Oryzias latipes: one gene and its partner. The main gene of each other region encodes a partner of the protein of the gene in region 2 in a complex. Links are inferred from orthologs where the notes say so. Each region holds a gene or a part of one and is shown on either strand. Other genes may lie near its edges. The genes, in order: camk2a and lrrc7.

The links.
Region 1: the proteins of lrrc7 (region 2) and camk2a are in contact, whole or in part, in a crystal structure (PDB 6X5G), measured with the Homo sapiens proteins. The link is inferred for Oryzias latipes from reciprocal best matches to the Homo sapiens genes LRRC7 and CAMK2A. Residues at the interface, in NP_001357714.1 of Homo sapiens: His843, Gly844, Arg845, Arg846, Pro847, Leu848, Ile849, Arg850, Gln851, Asp852, Arg853, Ile854, Val855; in NP_001350919.1 of Homo sapiens: Glu96, Phe98, Glu99, Ile101, Val102, Lys137, Glu139, Leu159, Phe173, Ala174, Gly175, Thr176, Pro177, Gly178, Tyr179, Leu180, Ile205, Gly209, Tyr210, Pro211, Pro212, Phe213, Trp214, Tyr222, Gln224, Pro233, Glu236.

What each region holds. Positions count from the first base shown.
Region 1 is NC_019872.2:23,211,796-23,219,588, reverse strand, and holds part of camk2a (calcium/calmodulin-dependent protein kinase type II subunit alpha), read left to right. Parts: intron 1-1,844; coding exon 1,845-1,887; intron 1,888-3,703; coding exon 3,704-3,744; intron 3,745-4,917; coding exon 4,918-4,966; intron 4,967-5,093; coding exon 5,094-5,169; intron 5,170-5,289; coding exon 5,290-5,384; intron 5,385-5,467; coding exon 5,468-5,696; intron 5,697-5,862; coding exon 5,863-5,866; 3' UTR 5,867-7,793. UniProt on the Homo sapiens protein: Calcium/calmodulin-dependent protein kinase that functions autonomously after Ca(2+)/calmodulin-binding and autophosphorylation, and is involved in various processes, such as synaptic plasticity, neurotransmitter release and long-term potentiation.
Region 2 is NC_019862.2:17,794,672-17,803,009, forward strand, and holds the start of lrrc7 (leucine-rich repeat-containing protein 7), read left to right. Parts: upstream 1-2,885; 5' UTR 2,886-3,230; coding exon 3,231-3,255; intron 3,256-8,338.

The DNA of each region.
Region 1 (7,793 bases), on a different chromosome or scaffold from region 2:
ACCCCCCCTGCCCCGTACCAATAGAGCCCCCCCCCCCCTCCCCCAGAATGCCCCCCCACAAGGCAGGGCCGACAAGACCCCCCACCCCACCACCCCCCAGACCCCGCAGCCAAAGCGGATGACACCCAGAGCGACCGGGGGCCCCAAGAGGGCTGTCCCGTCCCGCCCCAGAGCCAGGGAAGGGCCGATCCCAGCCCCAGGTGTAGGTGGGAAGCCCATCCAGCGCCGCTGGGCCCCCCCCCGAGCAGCGCCCCCTGCCAACCCCCCCCAGCACAGGCAAAGGGACCACCCCCCCAAGCCAAGCCAGACCACCACCCCACCCCCCCACCACGCACCCCCACACCCAAGCCCAGAGGACCACGCAGCGCCCCAGCCCGCCCAACCCAGGCGCCGGACCCGACCCCCCGACCAACGGAGCCCCCACCACCCCCCGCCAGGCACCGGAGGCCCCGACCCCCACCCCAGCCCACGGCAGAAGGGCAAGGAGCGGCGACGACCAGGCCCCCCCCACCCCCTAAGTCACGGAGTTAGCTATGGGAGACCAGAGAGACTGAGTTCTTTCAAAGTTACTTGAACCTTGGGCTGACATTTTTTCCAAGCTGATATGATCAAGCAGCAGATTTCTGTGTTGACTTATATTTATATTTTTCTTGCTTTTCCAATTTATTAAAATAGTTTTTTTAGCAATGCAAAGAGTTATGAAAATGATAGAGCCTAATCCTCCTTCTACATCGATGGCACTCATGTCACCAAGCACACAAAGTGACGGTGAAGCTGTGATTGAAACCTTAAGCCAGACTGATAGATCGGCACATACCTGCTGCCAGAGAGCCTGGACAGGCGTGCAGAACCACAGTGCATGCATGTAATTGTCGGGTAGATTACTGTCACAGTGCTGACAAATGTCTGAGTTACTGAGACCCATCTTGAACATCCTCTGTCCAGTGTAGTAAATTCTGTGAAGAGTTTTGAAATGGATTAGCTGCAGATTTGGACTTTTTGTCAGTTTAAAGGTGTTTAGACAAAGTTCTGACCAAAAGCTTTCATCTGTGCTGATGCTCAAATCCGCATCCCATTTTGTTGTCGGAAGTGAAATATTATTATCTAAGTTACATAAAAGTTTGTATATTTTGGAGAGAGTTTTATTCATTGTGAAATTGATCAGAGTGGTAACTACATCTGGTAGCTTTAAATCGTTGTCTCTGTATTTAAACTTTTTAGTAATAATTGATTTAAGTTGCTGATATTCCAAGAAGTTATATATTCCATGTTTGTCTTGAAGTTCCTGGGGAGTTATGAATCTTCTATCAATAATTATGTGCTCTAGTTGTTTTATGCCCCCTGCTTGCCAAGCTGGGAAGTGGATAATCTTTTTGTTTATGAGGATGTCTGGGTTGTTCCAGATGGGTGTCATTTTGCACGGTTGAATTGATGAATGGTTGAATTAATTTGTTTCTGAATGCAAGGGATTACACAGAAATTTTCCATTTAGATTGGTCACTTATGCAGGCCATAATAAAACCTTTTTCCTTGTTGTATGGATTTGGACTGAATGGACGTCCTGTTTTTCTGCTGGAAATCCTGCACTGATCAGGTTGAGGATAGTACCTGTTCAGTGCAAGAAGCATGAATCGACTTTCCGTCATGGCAGCACTTTAGTGTCTCAGGTGTTTGAAGATACAGTATGATATGAACATGATAAAGATTCATCTCCCAGTTTTTTTTTGTTTTCTTTGCAACTCATTTTCAATTCTCTCCATTCTCACTGCTTCTTTCCTTCCTCCCCTTCTTCCTTTTTTCTTTGTTTCCTTTGTCCCCCTTTCTCTTCTTCCTTCATCTCTAAGGGGGCCATCTTGACCACCATGCTGGCAACCAGAAATTTCTCTGGTAAGTTGTTGGTCTCAGCCTGTCAACATATGTGATCCAGTTGAAAGACCACAAGTCACCGGTTTCTGACCAGGTTGGGTTAAAGTCAGACAGTTCCTAAGGCCTTCATCACAACTGCCCTTATGAGTGGATATGAACATAGGCAAACCTGTACAGGGCATGATGCGAGTGACAGGTTGTAGCTTAATGCTAATGGATAATGGAGTTTCTCATAGGAAGGCTAATGCTAACGCTCATTCGACCTAGACGCACATTGTTGAATTTTCCAAACTCTTTTAAGAAAACATTTTTTTTTAAATAACCATTTGTGATCTAAAGCACTGCTTTTTGCTCAGTCTTCTGGAATAAAGTTTAATGCTATAGCGCGAGCTCCACCTAGTGGCCAAACTCAAACTTCTTCCAGGAGAGGCAGAACATACTGATCTGCACTTTTTGTTGGCGTGTCTCCAATTGAGAAACCGTGTAACACTGTATGGTGCTAACAATCTCATTGGTTTATTATTTCACTAATACATTTTACAGTCTGTGAACTGTATCAGATTAACATGAATATCTTCAAAACATATGTAGATTATTAACGTATTTCAATACAAATAAATCTGCCCTTACAGATGGATAAAATGGGCAAACCACAGCAGGGGACATGCAGGTGTCCCCATACAAAATTTTTAAGATCACGGCACTCGTGAAGCTCATGGGCCTCCACAAACCACAAAGAACTTCAACAGCACATGTACGGCTCAACTCCCACACAGAAGCATGTGACCAAGGCTTAAGACTACTTTTTGAACTAAAAAACAACAACAACAGAACAAACCAAGAACTTTAGCATCTGAAGTAAAGCTGGTCACGTAACCTAAGAGAGTCAGGTGATTTGAGAGAGTTGGTGCTCAATTGACATGAGAGTGTGGTGACATAGCTTAAGAGAGTCAGTGGATCAAATGACCTGAGGGGATCAGGGGCTGGTTATATAACCTGAGGAAATCAATGGTCATATTACCTGAGAGAGTTGGGCGGGGTGGGGGGCATGATCTAGAATAATAAGGGAGTTAGTGACTTGAGGGAATTGAGGATGACATGACCTGAGCTATGTGACATCTGCCCTTTGACTTACTGTTTCAGTAGCATAAATTTAGGGAAATAAATCAACCAATCAGCTGGCAGCTTACACTTGATTAACAGGTCAGGGCTCTTTGTGTGTGTGTGTGTGTTTGGTATGCAGCTGCTGCATCCCCAATCCAAAAATAACAGGGAAACCCTCCCACACTGACTGTTTGTGTGTCCACTGAGAAACCCTATCTGGCCCCTGCACATGCTCAGTGGCATCCCCTTTGGTCCTACACCCAGACACCTGAGTACATTGTCTTCATGCCATCTAGAAATACCTGCAGGAGTCTGAATGCACAGGTCCAGAACTGGACTGAGAATCAAGATTAGATCCGAATTGGTTTAAACTTGGCCATAATCAAAGGAAGATTGCTGCAGAACTCAACACTACACAGCTCATCAGAGGGGACGACGTGTGTCGCAGCCATGCCCGCTCAGGAATGTGCTCCTCAGCCCCGGAGTCAATCCTAAATTTGGCCGTCAGTCTCATAGACCCACATGCTGCTCTGGGAACTCCCCTTGTCCATCTGCAGCCAAAGCTGAAACTGTTGCTTGTGCGCTACCTGCTGCTGGTTCTATTCTCTGAGGTTTGCTGGATGCTCAAAGGCAGCAGCTGTCAGTGTGATGCCGTCGCTCTTCTTCTCTGCATTTGTTCCTTTCTTTCTGACTCTAGTGCTTCTCTGTCTTTTAATCCTTATCCCTCGTTCAGGGGGAAAAAGTGGAAGCAACAAGAAGGCTGATGGAGTGAAGGTAAGTGCTGGATCAACATTGTGTGTCAGAGTGTTTGTACCTATGTCTGTGCACACAGTAACACAACAATACAACTTAACTTCACTGAAATTATTCTAAACAAACATCAAGACTTCTGGGAAAATGTCTTCTTTGATCTCATTTCCAAAAAGGAAAAATTAGATAAATATCCTCCAGAGCCAACAGACAGAGCGATAACTCTACCTTCTTTTTTTATTTTATTTATTTTACTTTCATTTATTCAACAATGAGGAAATTTTTCTCCGCATTTTAACCCATCCCCTGGGGGGAGTGGTGAGCTGCAGACAGCTCGAATTGATCCGCCAACCCTTCGGCTGTTAGACGACCCGCTCTACCGCCTGAGCTAAACTGCCACCCGCCCTTTATCAGAGCGGATGCAAGATAGCAGCTGTTTTTAGTCTCAACAGAGGATCTATTACTTACCATCAGTTGTGTTTTTCTATTTTTGCCTTTCCATATGAGAGCATTAGGACTCACTCATACTTCCGGATTAACACATTTAAAATCAGGCTTATCAATCCTCATTGTTTAATTGGATTATAAACACTAACAACACTGCAATAAAATACATACAATGATGTTTTTATATGCTTTAGAGTCATAGTCCTATTCACCCATTCACACACACATTCACACACTCTAGGCTCTGTTGCCTAGCGCTGGTACCAACCTATGACTACCAGGACCAATGTGGGGTTCACTATCTTGCCAAAGGCACGTGCACTGTTGGATCGTACATGATGGGTTGTAAATTGATGGAATTGATCATAGATTCCAGATCATGCAGTTTGGACCAGATCATGAATTATGGATAACTGATACTGGAGCATGATATAGATTTATAGATCATGCATGATGGATTATGGACAGACCTGTGGATGGTCGATCATAGATTACTGAGTTATGGATTGTTGACAGTGGATAATGGACTGAACAACAGTCTACACACAATATGTCTGCAGTTTGAGTCCCTGTTAAAGCTTCCACACATTTTAGTGCTTGAACTCAAACCCACCCATCAGTAACCCATAAGATGAATACTGCACCTTTAGAGAAGACACACAGCTGGCTGAATGTTTCAGTGTTGTCATTGTTGTGTCTTTGCTGCCATTGTTGTGCTGTTTCATCAAAGGTTTTTCATTGTTTTTACAGGAGTCTTCTGAGAGCACCAACACTACAATTGAAGATGAAGACACTAGAGGTGAGTTCACCAAGACCTGAGGGGCATCAAATGACGCAGCTGATGATGCATCCACAGTGATCTTAACATATGTTTGTGTGTGTGCGTGCGTGCATGTCTTTCACATCTTTGTTTGTGCACGTCTCAGTGAAAAAGCAGGACATCATCAAAGTGACTGAGCAGCTCATTGAGGCCATCAGCAACGGAGACTTTGAGAGCTATACGTATGTGATGAGTACATTCTGATGCTTACTCTAAACATCTCTGACAGCTTGTTTAAGGTGTATTTTCTCTCTTCCATTCAGTTCAATCTTTATTTGATTTTTTTGTCCTCATTGCTACAGTAAAATGTGTGACCCAGCAGTGACTGCGTTTGAGCCGGAAGCGTTGGGGAATCTTGTTGAAGGCCTGGACTTCCACCGCTTTTACTTTGAAAACTGTGAGCTGATTCAGACTTTCTGCCTGGCTGTGAGTTGCAAGATTCTGATTGTTCACCTAAGTAGCTGTATGTTTCTGTCATAGTGTGGTCAAAGAACAGCAAGCCAGTGCACACCACCATTCTGAACCCCCACATCCATCTGGTGGGCGACGAGGCCGCCTGCATTGCCTACATCAGGGTGACGCAGTATATCGACAACAATGGCACGCCTCGCACCGCCCAGTCAGAGGAGACCAGGGTGTGGCATCGCCGGGATGGCAAGTGGCAGATTGTCCACTTCCATCGCTCTGGCTCCGCCTCCACACTCAACAAGTAAATCACAGTCCAGTTGTGTCCGACGAGTATCTTGTTTCCATCCTAACGGTGCTGACCCGCCACAAAGCAGGGGGCACTGCAGCTCCCCACATTACATTTCTGTGTTCAAAATGGATAAGTATCTTTCATGGTTTTTAGTTTGATATCTCTTTTATCCTTCCAGCTAACTCCAGTCCAAAGTGGGCGGGTCTTTGATGGGCCGCCGTTGCTTTGGCAACAGGCCAGACATCTGATACCAACAGTTAAGGATTTTGTTTGAGCAGTTGGAGGAGGAGATTACTGGGCTGGAAAATCAGACTCTTCCTGCAATGAACCACATCACATCCAATTAACCAATCCGCTTTCTCCTCTCAACAATAACCCTCTACACACAGCCAATCAGCTCCCTTGGTGTAGTTTAGCTGCACAGCACAGGTCATGTTTATGTTGGAAACCTCGTACCTCGTACAGGACTGGTGCTACACTGCAGCCCTCCTGTGGTCCGAACCTCTTTGTCCCCAGCATGTTGTGGAGGTCACACTACTTTAAGGAGTTCACTACTACAAGGAGTTTACCTTCATGTTCTCTCATCTTCATCATTAACAGTGCTCCTAAGCTCACCTCCAAGATTTGCATCAATAACATCCTGATCGAGGTGATTCCAGGTTTCCTGCAGCTGAAGCTCATCACCAACCAATCATGTCTATCTATGTCATTATGCTCTAACAACAGTTGCCATGGTAACCCAACATATTTTAGATCAGGGGTGGGCAGCACAAGTCCTCGAGGGCCACTGACCTGCTTTTTATCCCTTTTCCCTGCCCCGTTTGCTGCTGATTACCTGGATCACGTGTTTCCAGCCAATCAGAGGCTGCAATACCACAATTGTTTGTAAAAGAACTGGGAGGTGTGGAGCTGCCCACTCCTGGATGGACCATAAGCATCCATTTCTTCCACAAAGGTCAGCTGAGGGTTGAAGATTTGATGTTCTTCAGAGGAACAGCCAAAAACAAAAAACGTGTTTGACCTTTGAGCTGCAGATCTCCAGGCTTTCAGGAACCTGAACCTGCTCATTCTGTAGATGTTCATGTTCACAATCAGACAGACCTTCACAGAGCTCAAAGAACTGATGATCAGTGGAAGAGAGTCTGGATGTTTGGAGGAGAGATATTCACTTACAGAACTTTTGGTTGGTTAAATGATCTGAACATTGCTTTTGGGAGAATCCAAAGCTGCAAAACCTGTCCCGAGCTTTGATTGGAGCCTCTGAAAGGGTTCATACGAAACATTCATCTTCTAGAACAGCCGTTTGATGTCTCTGGGTGATGCAGGAACATCTACAGTGATCCTGAGATCATACAGTCTAAAGGTGGATAGGTGATCCGTGACATCACCCAGACATCCCTGCGTGACAGAACTCGTCTCTTCCATCAGAAGCTCCAGAAGCTTCCACCTCTCTCTTGCTTGCGATCTTCCATGAACAGTTTATACTTTAGCTGACCCCTCCCACCCCACCAAGGTGTCATGACAACAAAGCCAGCTAACGAACTGAAATGTTTTTTTCTTTATAACTGAGGGGGATGAGAAAATGGCTCCCAAATCCACTGCTGGCTGTCTGGACAGCTCCAGAACCAACAGACTCCCTTCCTGTTTCAAATCAGCGACACAAAGAAAATCCCTGCAACATATCTCCTTGTCACCTGTGACTGGCATCATCATGGAAATGGACAAAATTTCAGAGGGACCAAAGTTGACCAAGAAAACGGCTTGTGCAAAAGCACATGTTAGATATCTGCAGGTCAGCAGGACCTTAAACAAACACACAAGAAGAAATGCGGACTAAAATCCATCACAAGAGCTCCATCATTCAAGCACAACTGAGTACAGGGGTGTAACACTGAGCTTTAGGAGTCAAATATGATCTACATAAAGGTTTTGGGTAGGGGGAAACCCAAACAATCTGTGGCATGATACGAAGGAATCCATGGTTCTTCTGACAACATACTCTGCAGGTCTGTTTGTGTCAAGAGGACGACTCTGGTGAAACTCTTGCTGTCAGTTGGGTCCAATGCTTCTGTATCGAGGAGACACCTGCAGTTCTGGAATCCTGAGCTC
Region 2 (8,338 bases):
TCAATCTGCAGGCTATCAGAGAGAAGAATGACTTGCAGTGTGATACAGTGACAGCTTCCCCTGTACTCCTAGTTTCTCCTTAAATTCGGGCAGTCTTGGAGAATCCCAGCACTGCCATCTGGGTATGACTGAAGCTCCGTCTAGGTAAAGCCAACTGGCACCGGGGAGGACAGTGTGTCACTGTTACAGCAAAGTGAAGGAGAACCACCCTGTTAGGGGGGTCATTTTAAGCCACAATAAACATTATTTCCCTCTTTTCTTTTTTACATTTCATTTATTTTTAATTTGTGCCTTATAACATTTCCACATCCTTTACGTGTTTGGTGGTCTGATGCAGCCGTATCACTTGGAGCGTTGCGTCTTCTTGGAAGACGATCTTTTTTTCTTCAGTGGACAGTTTTGGGCACGAGGACGTTGAGTAGATCTTTGAAGGGTCCAAACTGCAGAAAATCCTGCCAAAAATGCAGAAGGGTAAAAACACTGTCAACATAAAAATTTGGCTTCACCGTCTTGTCAATTCTATTGAGATGGAAGGGATTATACATATTAGAAAAACAGCTGAGCTTGTTTGATGCCATCTGGCAATCTGTCGTTCAATATTTACAGAGGATATCAGACTCTGTGCTACATCAAGGTTTTTTTTCCTGGTTCCCACCCAAATGTCGGATCTTCTTTCTCTGTTTTCACTGCTTGGCAAGTCTGGGTTAAATACAGACACGACTTTTCCCTTAAGGGGTATTTTGGGTTTATTAACAAAGAACAATAATGAGTTAGAGATCACTTATAACTGTGGAGAACTTTTGAGCTAAATGGATTTTTTTTCTCTGTGGGAGTAGAAATTAATGAATCGTGTTTATAAAAAAACAAAACAATTTCTTCAAGTAAGCCACCTCAATGTCCTACATTTTCCTCCCTCTGACGGGAAACCGTGGCAATCAATCCAATACCAACAACTCTGAAAAGGCATTAAGCTTTTGAATTGGGAGGGGGTTCAAACCCATACCTCCACAATTACTGTGACTTTAACCTTTAAAAAGTTAAACTCCTGTGACTCTATGTATCTTATCTTGCTCAAAGATGCAGGTAATTAGACTTTATCTCGGTCAGTATCCGAGCAACTGCCCCCCCTCCCATCTCCTCATCTGAGCACACTGTGAAACTGAACTTTGCATTGCTGCACCCCAAAACCAAGCTGCAACTAATTTAAGATCTCGTGTACACTGAATGTCTTATTTTCTCATTTATATGTTTTTTTCTTTTCATGTTTAGTCTTTGCTGTATTCCCTTTTGTACTGATTCTGCACTTTGGTTATTTATTTATTTATTGGGTATTTATTTGGTGAATTGAACTGAGTGGCTGTTGTTGATGCTCCAAACGTATTTTCGTTATTTCACTGACAATGACAAATAAATCTTCTTGAATCTTGAATCAGGTGAGGATACGCCTCATACATCACATGCTCAAACAAAACAGGCTTGCACTGAGCTGATAAGGCTATTTTATAATCACCTATTACTAAATTGACAGTGTATTGATGGTGTTTTCAAAAACGTTTTTACAAGAAAACCGGAACACTTAGACAAAATATTGTGGAAAACAACAAAAGACAAGAACAAATGCTGCACATTTCTGTGTTTTGTGGGCTTTTGAGTCTTTAGAATAACATCTGATCCTTGCAAGAAAAATCTGTATTCACCCACTGCTGGTGTGTCTTTTTTAACTTTTGATAAAAACACATTAACCCTTTATCACCACTGATTTAAACAGAAATCTCGGTCACTCAATACTTCAGAGATATTTTTGCACTATATAAAGTTCACCTTTATGATAGTTCCTCATAGGACTCATTTGTTAAACACAGAAGTCATAATCTGGACTGTTTCTTTCTTTAACATGGTAGCAGTGCATGGATCACATGGAAAGTATATGAAAACAGTCAGATAAGAAGAAAATATCATACAAAAAATGCTTGTACATATTCAGTTATGCAAAAACTATAAACAATATAGTCTTCGTGCTCCATCTTAAACAGACAATGGTTAACCATATAAGATCACAAATAAAAATGCAAATGTACATGCAGTCATCATGCAATAACACTTACTTTTGGATTTTTAAATTATTCTTTGTTGCAATAAGATGATTTTTAATATTTGTATATACTGCTTTTAACCTTTATTTATCCCGGCAAGATGGAAGAACAATATTTTCAGCTGTGGTCTGGCAAAAGGCGAGACATTTAGAAAAAGGGACAGAAAAGGGGTTACAGGAAACGGACAGAAAACATCAGCGAGAAATTTCGAAACACCTGGTTTAACTAGATTATGAAAGGCAGTGAATGTTATGTGTTCTATATTGTTTCTCTCTTTTTTGGAATTACATCTACGGAACCCTTAACATAAAGGTAAAAAATATAGCAGCCTCATCATAAATTGCTCCTTAAAATTGGTATTGTGTGCACAAATTTCTATTTTGTTTGCTAAAATAGCTTTTCCCCTCCTTTTCCTCTGGTTTCAAAAACATACATTTTTTTTTACATCTGTTTAATGATACTGCGTGTAAAATGTTCCTAGAGGAGATTTTGCTTCATACTTCAGGTTATTAATAACTCGAGCAGCTCGTGCAAACATCTTCTCATAAATTGAGCTGTCAAAACTGGGCTATTTTGGTTTGAAAGAAGAAAAAAACCTCAAGAGAGATGAAAGAAGCAGCATGGCAGCGGCCCTAAAAGACAGGCTCCGTCTTCATTAAACAACACCCGCACAGATGAAATATTCATCCCTCTCTCCCATGAACTCATAACACGGTTATTGGTGCGCACGCGCAAACGCACCTGCTCTGGCGTCCCGGTTGCATCTTCATCCCTCCCTCTCTTCTTTTTCTCCGCGGGGGACAGATGGGAGGAGACGGTCCTCCTGGACGTGCAGCGGGGTTTTCACGGACAATGTTCCCTTCGTTTCCCCGCAGCTTCGCCGTTCGTGGACCGAGGAGTTTGGAGTGGAGGCTTCGCGTATGACTACTTGGATTTAAATCAGGAGACATGAATCTCCCGTAGATGCGCTCATCTCTTGCTCCCCGGGGGACTAAAGATGCGGGTACCTGTTTCACACCGGCTCGGTTCGTCCCGGTAGCCTGATCCTGCTTGATGCTTCGGAATCCACAGGGGCCACCAGAGAGATTGCATTTTTTTTCTAAAGGAATCGGATCCCCCCTCCCAGCATCCTAACAGATGGATAACTACTCGGCTTTACAACGTAAGGCAGCTCTGTCAAACGGTTTTCCTCATTCAATCAGCTCTTAATGAAGAACAAAATGTCTTCTTTTCTCTGAATTGCACTCTTAAGGGTTAAAGCAGCATATTGTGATTTTTAAATGCAACAATTTAGAGGAAAAGATGGATCAATGTTGCCCCTACATTTGCAGTGCTTTAATTTTTTTTTTTTATTGTATTCTTGCACCAAAAAAGAAAGCCATTCATCGCTTTACGAACCTTCATCCTCGGACCTTTTCAAGCTATGATCACATGAAACAACTATATCTGCAGCAGGGGGGACAATGATATATGATGCAGTGCCTCCCCATCTTGACATGTAACCCCAGGCTGCTCTGCTGTCACAGCGCCCTGCGTTCATGCATTATCTACATGCACACACCTGTTAAATCCACCAGCCGCATGTTTTTTGGCTTATTCCCCCACCCGTCCCATTATTTGTCTGTATCAGCCTGTCACACCTGTTACAAGCTTGTAATGACACAGGCGTTTTAACCATCCAGCCCCAATGCTTCACTGCTGCACTTAAACATTTTATATTATCTGAATCTTAATCGCTCCAGTTAAAGTGGATGCTGTATAGTGTTGGGTGCTCTTCTTTATGCCACATATTAGATTGCACTGAGGCGTGCATGAAAAAGGAGCATCAAAGAGAATGTTAAATATCAATCTTCAATGCAAAAATATTTCAAAGTCTTTCATTCTGTGTTGCTCTAACGATGACCATTAATAATTTGCTTTTCCGGAGGGATTTGGATTCCCACTTAATAGCCTTACTTTGTATAATTTTGCAAACACTCAGGGAGGAGTTGTCCTATTTGTCATCTTTGGACATGGATTGTTCCGCATGCATCTGCATGTCTCTGTGAATTAGAAATATATAGTTGTTTGTATGAATACACAGGAAATTCCTCTTCAGTGTGCCATCTTTTAAATGTCCTTTTTTTATTACATTAAGGGTACAAAGAATTTTTCTTCCTTTCCTTTCATGTAGCATCTTGACTTTTTTATTAGGGATAAAACAAATGTTTTAATGTGTTAAAAAAAATCCTTTTATAAAGGGGTCTATTGATTAATCAACATCAATGAATCGTATTTATCTCTGAGTAGCACCGGTTGAATTTTTTGGCTTAGGATGTCCTGAAGCTGAATGAATTAGATCGAATCGTGTCGTTAAAAATTAACCAATATCGACTATGCATCATATCAGCAACCACAAAGTATGATATTAATTGAATCAATAAAAGTAATCTTTCAATCATTACACAAAAGTAACTTTTTTTGCGTTAACTTCAGCCTCCCAGTAGAGTTTTTCCAAGAATGCATAAATCAATAATTTCTTTGCTAAATTCAAGAAAAATATTGATTTAAGAAAAAAAATATTAATACAAAGATGATGGAGCATCTCATATTGAGCTTTCTGTGTAATACAGTATTGCACCACAAGCTGATTGGTCTTAACAGTCAACAATAACTCAATATGCACTTGGCTGAGATTCATTTTGGAACAAGTGTCTTTACCAAAAATTAAAAGTTTTGTTCTATAGAAGTCATTCTGTTGTCTGTCAACAAACAAACAAAACCAGAAAAATGGACTAAAGAAATAATGTTTGACACAAACTTGGGTTTTCAGAATGTATTATCATTTAATTTCTCTTCTAAGAACAGATCTCCTCAAATATCTTTGACAGAATAAAAAAAAAATCATTAAGAAATTGTTAAAACATTAAGTTAGTTTTTATTTCAAAAAAGTTATTTTGCAGATATAAACTGTTGTCTCTGACTCTAAATAAACACAAAATAATTATAAACATTGATGCCCTTAAAATAGAAGCTTTTGTTTTAGGTTTGCTGAGTTATATTTGTCTAATTATCAGTTGTGCTTCATCCTTTATGAAGCTTTTATTAAAAATCTGGTGATGCAAACGTACCATCTGAAACTATTAAAACACACTGTTTTACAAACCTTATTTTATAAATCCTTTCCACCTCCTTCCAACTCAAGATGATTTGCGTGATGTTTTGCATTCCAGAGCGGAGTGAAATGCACAAGGCTTTGGATCCTGGACAAGATAAATGCATTAGCACTTCCCCTTCAGACAGCAAGCCTGCATGCAGGCATAGTTGGAGTGTTGTTTTGGGGCTTTTTGCTGCTCTTCCACTTAAGCTGTGACAGGACACTGCTGTTCCTGCTGCTGCTGCTGATGGTGATGCCGCTCGTTGCCTAGTGACTGTATCCATGGAACTGGCTCCCATCGTCATGGTGATGGGCTAAGGGATAGATATCCAGTGAGGGAAGGAAGACAGAGATACCAGCACAGCTGCAGTGTGTGTTATGATGAGGATTTATGCTGATATTTTAGGAGAAGGGATGAAGGTTATGGTGCTTTTGTTTTGACATGAGTTTGCAGTGTTGTTACATTCTAGAGTGTGATATTGAAAGGTCTGGTGAGGAGGCTAGTTTGGTTCTGAATCTTCATGATCATTTTTAAAACAAATATGTGTTTTGTCAAGCCTGCTGTTGTCAGAGTATGACCAAAATATCAAGTCAGCATCTTAATGGGAAATTTTCCATTTTAATCATAATCTTTGTACACTGTTGATGGATAAAGGCATAAACTATACATATGGTGCATGTAGCCATTAAATCATAATTGCAGGACTTCAACAACTAACACAGATGATCTACAACTAGTGTGACTAGTGGTTTAAATATTTACATTTATTTGTAAATCTTTATCTTTTTTATTTCAATTTCAAACACTTTATTGAACTAAAACACATTTTTAATAATAATTGATACTTTATTTATACTTTATTTATGTATTATTTATAAATTAACTGCTATGAAATGAATAGAATATTTTCACATCAGATTGTCAGCAAGGTAATTTTTTTTAAAATCTTATCCTGAAAACATTTCTGTTAGGGAGTGCATTGACATTTTACAGACAGCTTTTGGGCTTTTTATGGAAATGTACCGTGGTTACATCTTATAGTGGCTTTTGTCTTTGTTGTAGTTATGAAATCCATTAAAATTACAGGAAATGTAAACGGCAAACAGTTTTACGACTTGACAGAGTAAAGCATACATTTACAGCCAAGGGGAAGACCGTAGAATGAGGAGACAGAAACATTATCCTCCTTGTCACAGTACATACTGGGTTGTGGGTTTGCACCAACTGCATAAGCTGCTCTAAACTTGTCTTTTAAAGGATACATTTATCCCCTCACGTTTTTTTCTTGTACCAAGTCTCAAAATCTTTTTTCCTGTTTTCAATCTGCAAGCATGGATTTTTTTGTGTGGGGGGGTGTGGGGTATATTAACTCCCTCTTTTAGTCTTGGTGACAGTGTTTCTATGGTTACATCATTGGCAGTGTTGACTTAGATATTGCATAGATATTTGGCTCAAAATTGAGCTTTTAGGTTGTTGATTCTCAAAAAAAAAATATTTCAATCTCTTTTTGTGTTTTTCCCTGATTTTCTCTCATTGTCAATTTGTGCTTCTCAGGTGCAAAACTATGTGATGTCTGTTTGGGTTACTGAGACTAAAATCTGAGACAAAAATATTGGAGGACAGAAAAACATTAACTTTAAATCAGTTGATGAATGAGTGTTGGTTACAAAACTTGAACACACAATTTTCATTTTCCTGAAAAGTTTTTGCTGTCTGCAAAAATATAGTAAGTGTTGTCATGTTGAGGTTTGTTACATTATGTCGCTTTTTTTTATTTTTTTATCTTCACACCCTTCAGTTAACGGGTGTCTTTAACAGTGGTCAGAGTTAAATTATAGGTGAGATTTGAGGGCAAAGGTTTCATACACGCTGCTTTATGCTAATATTTGTTATTCTTGGATTAGATTTACTTATTAAATATCCCTCAAATCAATATCAAAAATACATTTATAGCTCTGACAGAATTATTGGCTTTTTATAAAGCTGTTGTAGATGTGACAATAAGATCAGTTGGATTTCACTGGCTTTTCATTTAAAATAGGGTTTTTTTTAATCTATGAGCTTTAATTCTGTTTTGGCTGCTCTCCAGTTTTGTGGTGATTACCACATCAAACCAATTTGGGATGTTAGGATACATTTCTAGATGCATCTAAGCTCAAACCTGTGACTTGCTTCGAATAAGACAGTGTTCCACATACCAGGGAGCTTTTACCAGATTAAATTGAATAAAAGTTGGATTATGAAAATCCCAAGTGATTTAATGTTAATCAACAACATTTTTACTGTGTTCAGAAACATTGTCTAATAGCGGTAAGTTTAGCTGACTCATTGGAATGTTTGAGACACTACTATTTAGTGGAGATTTGTTGATTACATTTTTTCAGAAATTTCCTGGGAAAGGGTGAGTTCATTGTGAAATAAAGTGTTACTTATTCTGACCTACATTTCAATTCTTATTACTTGATCAATTATTCATATTGAAGCTAGAATAGAAACAATTTCTACTTGCAGAACTGTCTGTGGTCTGCTTCCACTAATTATATTTGTCTTGATTTTATGATTCTTAACCCCTTCATTCCGTATGTCACAAATTTTCGACATACCATTAGATCCAGAACTCCACTTAATATAGAATCCCCTTGAACAGGAAAAACAAAACAAAAACATAGACGAATATTTTTTATAAAATTGGAAATAAAAGCAGGAGAGAAGGGGTTAAGACAGACAACAAACCCATCTTTAGAAAAACAATAATGTTTCTGGTCTGTTATGAATCCAACTGAAATTTGTGTTATGTTTAGGCTGCATCTTTAAGCCAAAATGTAAACCAGCAGGGCTCCAAAAAATAAGCAATCCTTAAAAATATCTGACCATAATTGTCTTTGCCCCTAGGCTTCTTTCAGACTCGCATTGTCCACATATGTGATTTTATCAGACAGCATCATGGTGGAGAACTGTTTTTTACATTTGCAAGAATACTCAAGAAGTAGTTGACCTTTCATTGACAAGGAGGAAGGCGAGATATTCCACCAAGTTTGAAGCTTGAGATAATGCAGCTGTGCAGAAGCATGAAAAGTAGGACAGAGTGATAACACCACAGCCTCATAG